Linked DNA regions of Sus scrofa. The protein of the gene in region 1 interacts with the protein of each later gene in a pairwise test. Links are inferred from orthologs where the notes say so. Each region holds a gene or a part of one and is shown on either strand. Other genes may lie near its edges.

What was found.
Region 2: the proteins of CKS1B (region 1) and SPERT interact in binary tests that used the Homo sapiens proteins (3 or more experiments, as listed by UniProt). The two-hybrid records come from large-scale screens. The link is inferred for Sus scrofa from reciprocal best matches to the Homo sapiens genes CKS1B and CBY2.
Region 3: the proteins of CKS1B (region 1) and MEOX1 interact in binary tests that used the Homo sapiens proteins (3 or more experiments, as listed by UniProt). The two-hybrid records come from large-scale screens. The link is inferred for Sus scrofa from reciprocal best matches to the Homo sapiens genes CKS1B and MEOX1.

Annotation. Positions count from the first base shown.
Region 1 is NC_010446.5:94,816,749-94,820,890, forward strand, and holds the start of CKS1B (cyclin-dependent kinases regulatory subunit 1), read right to left. Parts: upstream 2,836-4,142; 5' UTR 2,784-2,835; coding exon 2,725-2,783; exon of another isoform or gene 1,478-2,724; intron 250-1,477; coding exon 122-249; intron 1-121.
Region 2 is NC_010453.5:21,617,903-21,622,278, reverse strand, and holds the start of SPERT (spermatid-associated protein), read left to right. Parts: upstream 1-1,576; 5' UTR 1,577-1,610; coding exon 1,611-1,664; intron 1,665-4,376.
Region 3 is NC_010454.4:19,430,036-19,434,202, forward strand, and holds the start of MEOX1 (homeobox protein MOX-1), read left to right. Parts: upstream 1-1,367; 5' UTR 1,368-1,831; coding exon 1,832-2,300; intron 2,301-4,167. UniProt on the Homo sapiens protein: Mesodermal transcription factor that plays a key role in somitogenesis and is specifically required for sclerotome development. Required for maintenance of the sclerotome polarity and formation of the cranio-cervical joints.

The sequences.
Region 1 (4,142 bases):
ATAGCTGGTGGGGTAACGCAGTAAACCACCCCCACCTTCCCCTTATTTCTCTGGGCCATGTGATCTTATCATTCCTTTATTCCCACAGGCCTACATGATTGCTTTCTGCCAGTGCACTGACCTGGTTCATGGATCATATAGTGGACCCATCCCTGACTCTGCTGAACGCCAAGGTTCCTCCATTCAGATTCAGACATCAAATGGGTTTTAGGGACCAGCTTGGCTATGTCCTTGGGCAACATGACGTGCCTGTAACAGAAACATGGGAAGGCGGGGAATTGGTTTCATTACCGGGTACACTGTCAGACGAGTGCCTGCATTTACAACCAAGAGAGGAAAGGAAAGAAAAACCGGTTCCTAATGGCAGGGAGTTTGTATAATCTCACTGTGGGGCAGAGGCAGCTAGAAAATAAAGGCCACGTTACGTAAATTCTTACAAAAGGATATTAAAAAGTACAAATTAATGGATAACACCAGTGAAGGAGCACCTAAATTCCAGGCACTGCCTCAGCCTTCTCGGAGATTACAGTCTTCTAGTTGATTACCCTAGAACAATATAATGGGAGCCCCACAACACACACAGTGTTAATAATTAAAGGCAGTTTTGCACAGGGTTGGTAAGGAAGGGAGGGACATGATTTCATGGACAGGAAAGGCCTATCAGGGAGTACTGTATAGAAAAGCCAATACAGGAGTTTCCACTGTGGCTCAGGGAAAATGATTCTGACTAGTGTCCATGAGGACGCAGTTTCAATGCCTGGCCTCGCTCTGTGGGTTAAGGATCTGGTGTTGCCGTGAGCTGTTGTGTAGGCAGCAGATGCTGCGGCGTGGGCTGGTGGCTACAGCTCTGATTCAACCCCTAGCCTGGGAACCTCTATATGCTGCTAGTGCAGCCCTAAAAAGCCAAAAAAAAAAAAAAAAAAAAAAAAAAGCAGCCAGCACAAAGGCAGAAATGTAAATGTCTTCTCCTTTAATTTTACTTTCCTAACTCTGAAGGGATGTGCCATGAGATTTCTTTTGGGAAACTGCATGCTTTCCTAATCAAGCATAAGTCCCTTTCATGGCAAAGAAGTTACTATTCTGATTTGGATTGGGCTGACCCAGACAGACTTTAGCATGTTCAATGAAAATGTACCGAATGCTCTCTCTGTGCTAACAGATTTTTTTTTTCTCCAAAGAGACATTTTTTTTTTTTCTTTTTAGAGCCTCACTTGTGGCCTATGAAAGCTGCCACATCCACAGCAACTCAGGATCAGAGCAGCGTCTGGGACCTAAACCACAGCTCATGGCAATGCCAGATCCTTAACCCACTGCGCGATGCCAGGGATTGAACCTGCATCCTCATGGATACTAGTCAGGTTCATGACCGCTGAACCACAACGGGAACCCCAAAGAGTCCATTCTAGTCTAAATATTTGAAAATAGCTTACATCCTAATAAGTCCCTGGAGTAAAGACTGGCTTCCATACCCATTTAGACAAAAAAAAATCCCAATAGCCCCAAAAAACAAATAAAAAAAGCAACACATAATAAAACCTCTTCTCTTAAACCAGGTATCACTGCCAAGTCTTACATATTCCAGGGGAGGAAACTAGTGATGTTCCCCTAGCCCTTATAAATTATAAGCACCTAATTTTAGTTAGCCTCCTTTAGATGGAGAGGAAAACAGGTGAGGAAAAGAAAGTTAATTAGGTCCAAACAGGGCTCGGGGTCTTTTCCCAACCATGTGGCATACATATAGTTATGTATTTGTTGGCACACTCCAAGTTCTCCAGAGGGCCCAGAGCCCTGCACTAGGCTGCAGAAGAAATACAAAACAACCAAGCTTCCAGGTGTTTTAAGTATTACAATTAACACAGATTGGTGGAATGCCAACATTTGCAGAACTCCTTTTCTTCCCTAATTTTCTAATCTAGAATTATGGTTAGGATTTATCAAATGCAAACTCTGGAGCGACTCACTTTCTTCGCTGTGCTTGGCAAGTCCTACTGCTCCCATCACAGCCTGTACAAAGTTCTATCATGCCAAGTACCACCTTCTGAGTATTTCCACAGACTTAAAAAAGTTTTGGTGAAAGCAGGCACCATGGCTTATCCCTGCACTTTAGCACAACATCTGAAACCTATAAGCTGTTTCCCAAGTAGATGCCCTTCAAATATTTGAAGGTCATCTATTAGGTCCGTATTAAGTCTTTACTCAATGCTTCTGGCCAGTTTTATTCCACTCCTGATCTTCAAAGCCCCCTTCCTATAAAACAAGCCAGACAACCACGCTCCTTTTCCAAGAATTAATGAACACCACTCAGGCTCTCTCAGAACTCCCCTCACTTTGAAGAGGCGAGGAAAATTCGAGCTTCTCCCGACCCCAGAGGCTCTGTGGTGTTGCGGTGATACAAGCAGTCTCAAGAAGTCAAGTTCAATCTGCTGAGCAAATTGGAGAGAATGATCCAGAAACCCTCAAGAGTGGGGATGGTCAGCACTCTAACCACGCCCACCTACGCCTCCTCCCCACGGGAGAGCTTACTACAAATTCACTACCACTTTTAGGCTTTTTTGAGCGACCCCCTACCCTTAGCGCATGCGCCTTACGCTCAAAGCGCACACCCATTCCCGTTAACCTCTTGCGCATGCGCCGACTCTATACCTTCGGTCCCTGTTACTAATTCCTCGTGCCCACACTTGTCAAAGCTCACCACCTCGATACTGCCCCCGCGCCGGCACTAACCGGTACTCGAACTCCTCGTCGTCGTATTTGTCCGAATAGTAAATTTGTTTGTGCGACATGATCGCTCTGCCAGAGGACCGTCAACACCGCACCGCCAACCTCCAAACAACTCCCAGCAGCACGCGCTCCCACCCTCTTTGGCCTCGCTTTCAAACACGCCGCCCGCGCTTCCTATTGGTCCGCCTGGCGGAAGGCGGGACAACTCCACTTCCAAGCCTTCGATTGGCTTAGATTTGCTTCTCTTCAGGTCCTTATTGGAGTGCACTGCTTAAGTTTCTAAAGAAAAACGTAGGGCAAAAATAGGCCTCTTATAGGCTATCACTGCCCTGTGAGCGTTCTCGCGCATCATTGGCTGATTTGGGAAAGTGGGACGGGTGAAGGAGGGACGATGAGGTAGAGGGTCAGGGGTTAGTAAGGCCGGAAGTGAGTGCAATAAAGTTTCTCCAGGGAGGCCGGGCCCGGGGAGAAAGTTGGAGCGGCGACCTAAGGAGGCAGTGGCGTGATCCGGAACCAAATCGACCCGCGGTGCGGTGCGGAGACCCCATGAAGCCCTGGTGAGTTGGGACCTTTTTTTTTCTCCTTAGGCGAACCTCCCCTCCACCCCGGAACCCCTCTCCCGGGACCCTACTTCCGGTCTTCATTTATAAGTCCCGCCCCCTGCGACCCCCTCCCCGGAAGTCCCACCTCCCAACTTCAGGGGGCTCCCTGAACCCCGACTTATTTTCCGTTTATTGTCCCCGACCCCACCCCGTCGCCCAGCTTTCCTGGAAGTCCCACCCCTAGACATGCTTCCAAGCCTTACTCCTAGAAACCCAACGTTAAGTCTTTCCAATTACCCGAAACCCCGCCTCGCGACGATTCTCCGCTAACTCCTGTCTGTCAAAAAGCCTATCTCCCCAAAGGGCAAAGCCCTGCCCCTCAAAGATCTGCTTGAATTCGTGAAGCCACTCCTCTCTAGGGTTTCCGCCCCTCTAGAAGCTCCGCCCCTTCCCTAATCCACGTCTGATCGCCCAGAAGCCTGGCCTCCTGGAAATCTCTGATGCACGCGTCCTAAGGGACCACGCCCCCTCAAGATCTTTATCCCTGTAGGTCCCAGGTCATCGCCTGGGGAGCTTTGTCTTCAGCCCCTGGAACGTCACCTGCTTACATTTCCCTGTTCTTTTTCTCTTTGGGGCCTCTAGCTCAATTTTCCTGAGCTCTCATGCTCCACCGGGTAGGAAGGCAAAAGTTCACATCTCTGGTTCTGAGAAGTAAGAGATTAGAGGCAGCCCTTGTCCTTATCCCCTTACAAGGGTGGACCTACTTGTAGGGGGCTGGACTTGGGGTTTGGCACGAGAGCGGGAGGGAGACTTGCTCATAGACTCCCAACCCCACTCCCTGAGTTTCCCTTCCCAGGACCGACTCCACCCCAGAAACAG
Region 2 (4,376 bases), on another chromosome or scaffold:
CTGCATAGGACCTATACCTGGCACCTCACACTGGTATGGCTTTTTACTTGAGATAGAAATAAGAATCTTAGGAGTTTCCATCGTGGCGCAGTGGAAACGAATCCTGACTAGGAACCATGAGGTTGTGGGTTCGATCCCTGGCCTTGCTCAGTGGGTTAAGGATCTGGGGTTGCCGTGAACTGTGGTGTAGATCGCAGATGCAGCTTGGATCTGGTGTTGCTGTGGCTGTGGTGTAGGCTGGTGGCTACAGCTCCAATTGGACCCCTAGTCTGGGAATCTCCATATGCTGTGGGTGCGGCCCTTAAAAAAAAAAAAAGAATCTTAGAAAAGGTGGTAGGTTTAGGCACCTCCACTCCAAAAACTTTCAGAAGGCTTTGCCATCAACTGTAAAATATCTTATCAGATATCACTTTCACATCCTTTCAGACTCAGATTTTCATAAAGTACATTATTAGCAAGAAGGGATAAGTGAGCAGTAGAAAGTCTTGTTTTCTGGGTGAGCATCTGAGGCCCAGAGAAGGGGCCGGGAAGCAGAAATCCATTTATTTTCTCTTTTCCGCAGCACTCGAGGCCAAATTTTACAAGAAAAAGAGATACCAGATGTGAAAGCCTAGAAATTCCAATCAATGTGGTTCTGCCTCAGGTAGGGATAATCACAGAAGGATGCAACCCTTCAGTTAGCCAGAATAACCCTCCCCTTTCAAAACTCTAGCCTGAGGACATGGAGCAGGCAGAGCCAGCAAGGCCTCCGATTCTAGTTGTAGGGCAGCTGCCAAGCCAGCAGTGTGGCTGGGGGAGGGCACTTAAGCCATTCTGAGTCTTGAATGGGGGGTGGGGAGGGAGCTTGTTAGGTGATCTGATAAGATCTTCCGGCCCTACCCCTTGAAATCTCTGTGACACTCTGAAATAAGCCAGTCTCTCCAAAATTAGATCTTTTGGCGTTGGCTGTTCTGCAACTTCTCTGGATTTCTGGCAGGTCCTGGGAGGTGGCTGGCAGACAATGAGATCTGAGACTTGGAATCAAAAACGCAAGACCTGGAGTTCCCATTGCGGCCCAGCACTAACAAACCCAAGTAGTATCCATGAGGACACGGGTTCGATCCCTGGCCTCATCCAGCGGGTTAAAGATCCGTTGTTGCTGTGAGCACTGGTGTGGGTCGCAGAGGAGGCTCGGATCTTATGTTGCTGTGGCTGTGGTGTAGGCCAGCGGCTACAGCTCCAATTCAACCCCTAGCCTGGGAACCTCCATATGCCGCCGGTGTGGCCATACAAAGAAAAACAAACAAACAAAAAACAAAACCAAAAAACATATGACTTGAACCCATGAGGAGACAACCTAGGACTCAGCCCAAGGGGTGCAGGGTCATCTGGGGGTGTCAGGAGAATTAAGACCTGCTTTTTGCCCAAGACAAGAGTATGGGGGGGCGGGGCTTGCAGGATTCCGAATGGAAGCCCGTGAATGGATGACGGGCTGGAGATTCTCAGCTCTCCGCCTGCTAAGCAGCCGTTTCCCTGGAGGGGTTCTCCTGATTGGATTGTTTCCATGGCTATGTCACAAAGGGGGGGCAGCCTTGCTTCTTCAGAGTCACCTAAGGCCCTGCTGGAAGATCATGGCTGTGCAGCCGGAGGGGCTGAAATGTAGGGCGGAGGAATCCAGCGTAGAGGTAGCCACCCAGAGAGCTCTGTCCAGGGCTGTGTAGGAACAGGACTGACTGCCCCTGGGCATCCTGGCCTTTCGGAGGACGTGAGGCACTGCTGCTGCGCACAAGTCCTGTGTCAGGTTCCGGACCCTCAGCAGGATGCTCCAGGCCGGCAGTCCTGGGTGGGGGAAGGGTGCGTCTCTAAGTTTAGATGAGATGTGGGCGCGTTCAGGTCCGGTTTGTTCAGGGTGGTGTGGCTGTAGTCTGTAAGTTTAGATGATCTGAACTGGGCCACCTCTAGGACTGTGAGGGACCAGTGTGCTGACTCGATCTCCCCAGAGGAGATTGTGCATGGCTGGCGGCGGGGCAAGGACCGATCTGCTTAACACGGCGGGGGTTGGGGGGGGAGAGAGGGAGATGCCCTGAGCACTGATGTGTGATGTGATCACGTGGTGGGCATGGGGCCAAGCAGCGTGAGGGAGACTGTGTAGGAATTGAAACCCAGAAGCCCCACTAGTAAGGCAGGGCTGGAGCTGGAGGCTTGAAACCAGGTCAGTGCCTCTTCCTCTGCTGTGCCCCCGGCTGGGCACAGGCCAGCTGCGTCTTCCCTGGCTTTTAGGACATGGTACCTCCCCTCCCCCCCATCTTTACTGCCTACCCCCGAGCTCCCTGCAGGTCTCTGCCACATTCTGCTTCCTTCTGAGACCAAGTCCATTCGTCGCAGCAGGGAACAGCCACAAGCAGCCCTGAGCCCTGCATTGCCAGAAAGCGCCTCTGGCCTCCTGGCTCCCAAACAAGCCGCCAGGCACGCATCTCAGTTACATTGCAGATGCCTATGGCTCACTGTTTGTTATCACCCTGTGGTCTTTTCAGGTCTTATTGATTTTCAGTTTTTCTTCCTCACATTAGGGACTTGTACTTTCTGAGCTCTTTCCCTCCAGCGCGTTAACCATCAGTGCCCAAGCTCTCTGCCCTCCTGGGTCCTTTTGTACATAACAATTCAGTTCGGGCGGAGGGGGGGGGTCGCAGTTCCCCAGTGAGCGCTCTCTGGGAACTTCCTAAAGGCACTGTTTACTGCCAGACCATTGATGCAGGACCTACACCAGGTCAGGATGCATTCTGACAGCGACCCCCTTCCACTCCTGCCGCCCCCCATCCCTCTCTGTTCCCTTGTCCCAGTCCCCTGGGTTTGGGTTTGTTCTTCAGAAGCTATGGACTCTGCCGACCATGCCTGCACCTCTGCCAGTTTGAATAAGCTTTAGGAAGAAGATGTCAGAAGATTCCGTGTTCAACAATTAGCAAAAATGAGCACAGAGGATGGCAGATGACATCTTTATCCTCTTTGCTGTTAATGTTATGATTCTATCAAGATCAATCACATTGACCTGTGAATTATCCTCTTATCTGCTGGCATTTATGAAAACCAACATTGACTTTCTCATGGCACTCGGGAGCAGAGTTAATTTAAAAATATGATAATGAGGCTCAGGCTTATCACCTGGTCTGAAAATTAGTGGCGTGGCTGGTCTTTCCTTCCAGCATCCTGGGGCCTCTCAGCTTCACACGCCTGAAAGGGAACCTCCGGTGGCTGAATGTTCTGTGATTGTAACCCTCAGTGACGCTGCCAAAGCAGGGCTTTAATGGACTTGGTCGGAGTTCCCAGTGTGGTGCAGGGGAAACAAATCTGACTAGGAACCATGAGGTTGTGGGTTCGATCCCTGGCCTTGCTCAGTGGGTTAAGGATCTGGTGCTGCCGTGAGCTGTGGTGTATGTTGTAGATGGCGTTGCTGTAGCTGTGGTGTAGGCCGGCAGCTACAGCTCTGGTTAGACCCCTAGCCTGGGAACCTCCATATGCCACAGGTGCAGGCCTAAGAAGACAAAACAAAAAAAACAAAACACGAGATGCTGGGGAGAAGGACAGGCCTGATGCTAAGGACAGATCCCCAACCACAGGGGGGATTTAGGCATCTGTGCGGGAGATGTTGGTGCCCAGAGCCCTTCCTGGGCCCTCAGCATGAATGCATCCTACTTATGTCACAGCTGGGAGCACATTGCTCTGAGGCCAACCTGTTTGGTTGCCTGGCTAATAAAGCCTTTGGAAAGAACCCCACAGCTATGAGTCTTCCCCTCCTGCATCCTGCATCCTTCTTTGCATCCCCTTCTTCCACGGGGAATCCCACCTTTTCCTCTCCCACCTCCTGGGTCTGCATCCACATGCCAGGGCACTGCCCACAGATCAGGGAGGAGACCAATCCTTTTCTTCATGGGAAACCTGGCCAGGCTGCTCTGGGCGCTGGGATCACTCTGGAACTTTCCGGGTGTTCCAGGAGCTTTTTATGGGCACGAACCCCTTGTTGTGAAATGTGTGGTCCTAATTCCCAGGACTGGGAACGTCAAAAAAACCTAAGGCATGGGTCACTGTCCCTAGAGAATTATATTTTATTCATCCGGGGAGAAGATGGGATGGGACATAGGAGAACCACTGCAAAGTAATGATAGCAACACACATGCATAATAAAATATCTGGACATTGCGAAGCGCTAGAATGAGCATGCAGTTTGGAGTCAGATATCCTGGTTTTAAACCCTTGCTGGCTGTGTGATCTCAGGTAGAAACACAGTAGCTCCTTTCAGTAAGATATTGCCTATAAATATGGAAATCAATTAGCACACCATCACATAGTAGTCATTCAGTAAGTGTTATTCCCTTTTCCTTGTTCCATACAGTATAAGGAAA
Region 3 (4,167 bases), on another chromosome or scaffold:
GGATCTCTGGAACCAGCCAAGAGGGATAGCACTCTTCTGGTCCATGCCCATTTCGGCCCCAGTCCTGCAGCTCTGGGCTGTGGAATAGTCAGTAAGAGAAGAGCTCTGACCCCATGTGCTTGGAATGTCATCCTCCAAGAATTTTTTTTTTTTTTTGTCTTTTTCTAGGGCTACGCCCATGTCGTATGTGGGTTCCCAGGCTAGGGGTCGAATCGGAGCTGTAGCTGCCGGCCTACGCCAGAGCCACAGCAACGCTAGATCCAAGCTGCATCTTCAACCTACACCGCAGTTCACGGCAACGCCAGATCCTTGACCCACTGAGCGAGGCCAGGGATTGAACCCTCAACCTCATGGCTCATAGTTGAAATCATTAACCACTGAGCCACGATGGGAACTCCCCCTCCAGGAAATTATATTAACCCTCCAGAGAGACCAGCAGGGCCTGGGGATTGAGTGGACTAATTGGACGGTTGAAATGGCCTTGGGGCCTCCAGGGACGGGCACCAGCCTGGAAGACCATGCAACTGTGTGCCGAAGAGAACTCCTTTGGGAATGAGAATCGCCCTGATTGCTATTTCCATGCCCAGGTTCCATGGAAACCCTGGCCTCTGGGGGTTAGGGGAAGCAGGTGGGTGAAGGTTAGGAGGCCAGAGAGCAGGTGGGGGAGGCCTGGAGGAACTTCAAGGAACTTATCTGACAGTCTTTCCCTTGCCATGGAGAAAAATGACTTGAAACCCCTCTAGAGATGAGTGTGGCGAATTGGCATGTAAGTTGGGGGTTAAAGAGCGGAAGGAAGAATCTGATTGTTTTTTTAAGTTACTGGGAAAGTGAGAATGTCACTTTGGGCCGAGAGAAACCCTTTTTTTTTTTTTTCTTCTAGAGTGTGTCTTTCTACTATAGACGGTAGTGGGCCGCTGAGACTTGCAAAAAAAGCTTTCTTTTAATCCACCTTCCTTTTGCCAAGCAGCAGTAGAAGGGCCTTTAAATCAAATGCAATCAGCAAACTTGTCTCTTGCACTTATTCCCAGCTTCACTCCCTGGAATTTGGCACTTGATGGATGCTGGATCTGACTTAAGGCTTTTTCCAAATCCGAGACTTGGGGAATTTTGTTAACAGTGCAATAAAATAACTTCATAGTGTTATAGGAGGCACATTAAAGAAATTGTGTGTGTGCTGCTCTCTCTCCTTAAAAAAAAAAAAAAAAATACAGACAATGTTTCTTTAAAAGACTCCATCTGCAAATCCCATTAGATGTGCATATAAGGTTTCTGATGATTAATAGTTGCCTGCTCGGGTTTTGGTTGGAGGGGATGGTGTGTGTGCTGGTTAACCCCTCCCTCTCCTCTCTCACATTTCACTTCAGAAATTTGTCACTCTCTCCCCACCGCAGGATTTAAAAGTGTGTCTCAGCAGCCCTGGACCAGCTCTCTGCAGGCGTTTGCTGCAGGCTCCAGGACAAGCGCTCTTTAGCTGGTGCGTCTGGGCTGGGACAGTGAAAATGTTGAGTGTCATCAGCGACACATACACGTACAGGGGACCCCAATAGGCAAGCTGGTGCGTCGGGGGGGCCAGGAAGCCAGGAGTGAAGTCTGATAGAGGTGTGTACACACGTGTGTGGAGCCAGCCACCTGTGTGCGGACCGTAAGGAGCGACTTTAGTTTTGGTGTTTGTTTGGGGTCCTGGGTGGAATTTTTCTGTTGAACATTTTTCTCTTCTGTTTAAAAAAAAAAAAAAAAAAAAATTTTTTTTTTTTTTTGCATTTTTAACAAATTGAGTATAAAGTATACCAATCCAGCCTTTGAAAGGACTGAGACGTGGGGCAGACGACAGATGGATCCAGTGGCCAGCAGCTGCATGAGGGGCCCCCACCCCCCAGCCCCGGTCTGGGGCTGCCTTCGAAACCCCCACTCAGAAGGCAGCGGGGCCTCAGGGCTCCCCCACTACCCGCCGACCCCGTTCTCCTTCCACCAGAAACCAGACTTCACAGCGACAGCGACGACAGCGTACCCTGACTTCTCGGCCTCCTGCCTGGCGGCCACCCCGCACAGCCTGCCCCAGGAGGAGCGCCTCTTCACTGAGCAGCACCCCGCCTTCCCACAACCCCCTGACTGGCCCTTCCCTGTCTCGGAGGCCCGGCGGAGGCTCAACCCAGGCCCGGCGGGGGGCTCCAAGGAGATGGGGGCCCGCAGCCCAGGCCTGGTGGACACCACGGGTGGCCCGGGCGAGGACTACGAGGTCCTTGGGAGCAGTGCCAATGAGACGGAGAAGAAGTCAACCAGACGGAAAAAGGAGAGTTCAGGTAGGTGGCTGGGGAACAGCTGACGTTTCCTTTACTGTGTGATCTCGGGGCGGTTGCTTGCCCTCTCTGAGCCTAGGTGCCCTGACCGTAAATTGGGATCTAACCTAATCAGAGGCGGGGACTAGACCAGTTACCTCGGAGTTTCAGGAGTCTCTGGTGATGGGGGCTATGACTATGTCCCCAGCCTTCCTGGGCCCCAGAAAAATGTGCCAGCGAGAGAATGAAACAGGATCCACATCGAGTTGGAGGGCATGTGGGAGGGAGCCTCTGGGTAGAGGCTGGCAAGGGCCGCAGAGGGGCTTTCCTGCATCTGGGCTGCCTCTGGGTCATGCTTCTCCCCACCACACCCCAGCCAGCTCCAAACAGTCCCAGAGCCCCAGGACTTGCTCCCAGGGGCATCAGCTAAAACCGAGACTTGGAAGGTTAAGATCAAGGCTGGGACCCTGGGCAGCCAAGCAGAACCAGAACTCTGTGTGTCCAGGAGGCAGAGGAGCAGGCACAGGGCGGGGATGCAAGAGGCAAGCACTGAGCTTTGGGGCCGACCACCCAGGAGGTACCACCCTACCCAGCAGGCCAGGCCCAGGCCAAAGGGTCAGCTCAGCCTGCTAAGGTCTGGGTGACCCCCAGGGCAGGCTGCCCCTCTGAGGAGCCCTCCAGAGAGAATCAGGGAGGCAGGCAGCAGAGGGCAAGCACTGGATCTTGGCGTGAAGGTAACGCCCAGCTTGGTGCTGGAGCCCCCGAGGCCAGAGGCTGGAGCTGGGCTGCTTGCTAAGATCCCAGCTAAAGTCCATCTCCTCCCCGTGGTGGGGACCTGTTTTTTCCTCATCTCCCAGTGGGACCCCCCCTAGCCCCCCACCACGGGCTTCTCTCACCTCCTGTTCACCTTTGGCCTGGATCCCTCCCCCATCTCACACAGCACAAGACAGTGCCCTGGCCTCCTGCCCCTTCTGCCCCATTGTGTCTTCCTGACAACTGCTTCGGGGTACATCTGACTGTCTGAACCTACAGAGGACCCTTCTTGGGGCTCACCAGGGGCAGGCTGAAAATGAGAGGAGCAGCCAACCAAAGAAAACATGCTCCGCTTTGCTTTACAAAGCGCTTTCAACGTAGCACAGACTTCCCGAGCATCTTCTCTTTGCCAAGAGGCCCTGGGGTTGCAGAGATGAAAAGGCGGTCTCACTCCCACCTCCAAAGAGCGCAAACGGAGAGGGAGGGGAGGTCAGCAGGTGCCTGTCTGGCAGTGGATGTGCTCTGATTCAGGGGGTTCGAGGTGCTGCAGGAAACATACCATAGCTCTTTTGAGTCCCACAGGTTTTCGAGTTTGATACAGCAGGTCTTATCAGTGACTTGATTCTTTAGGCGTGGAAAAGGAGAAACTTAAAAGTTTGAGGGGAGCACTGCTAGCAAGGAGTCAAAACAGAACGACCCATTCATCTCAAGGAAGCCAGGACTTTTCCAGTTTTAGCATTGAAAGTTCAGCACCCCAGGGACAGTTAGTCACCCAAGAAGAAAACTCAAACCCCAGACTTCAGACCCCAAACCCACCCCCTTCGGTAGATTTCAAGCACAATTCTTCATTTTGAAATATTGGGTCTCCAGGCTTGAAGAAGCCTCTCGGTGTGCTTGCAATGAATGATAAAAACCACAGCCCTCCAGGCTGCTCAGTAGACGGGCCCTTTAAGTCCCCAGTCGGCTAAATCCTGACCTATTCCTAGGCTTGGCTGGAGATGTGCCGAGAACGGGGCATTTCTGCTTCTCCTCTCCAAGAAGCTCTCAGCCACTTGGCTCTGCACCTCGTTGAAGAGCCCTCCCCTCTGTGGCGCCTGCCACCGTAGCTCCTCCATCTCTGCCCACATCCACCTTGGCT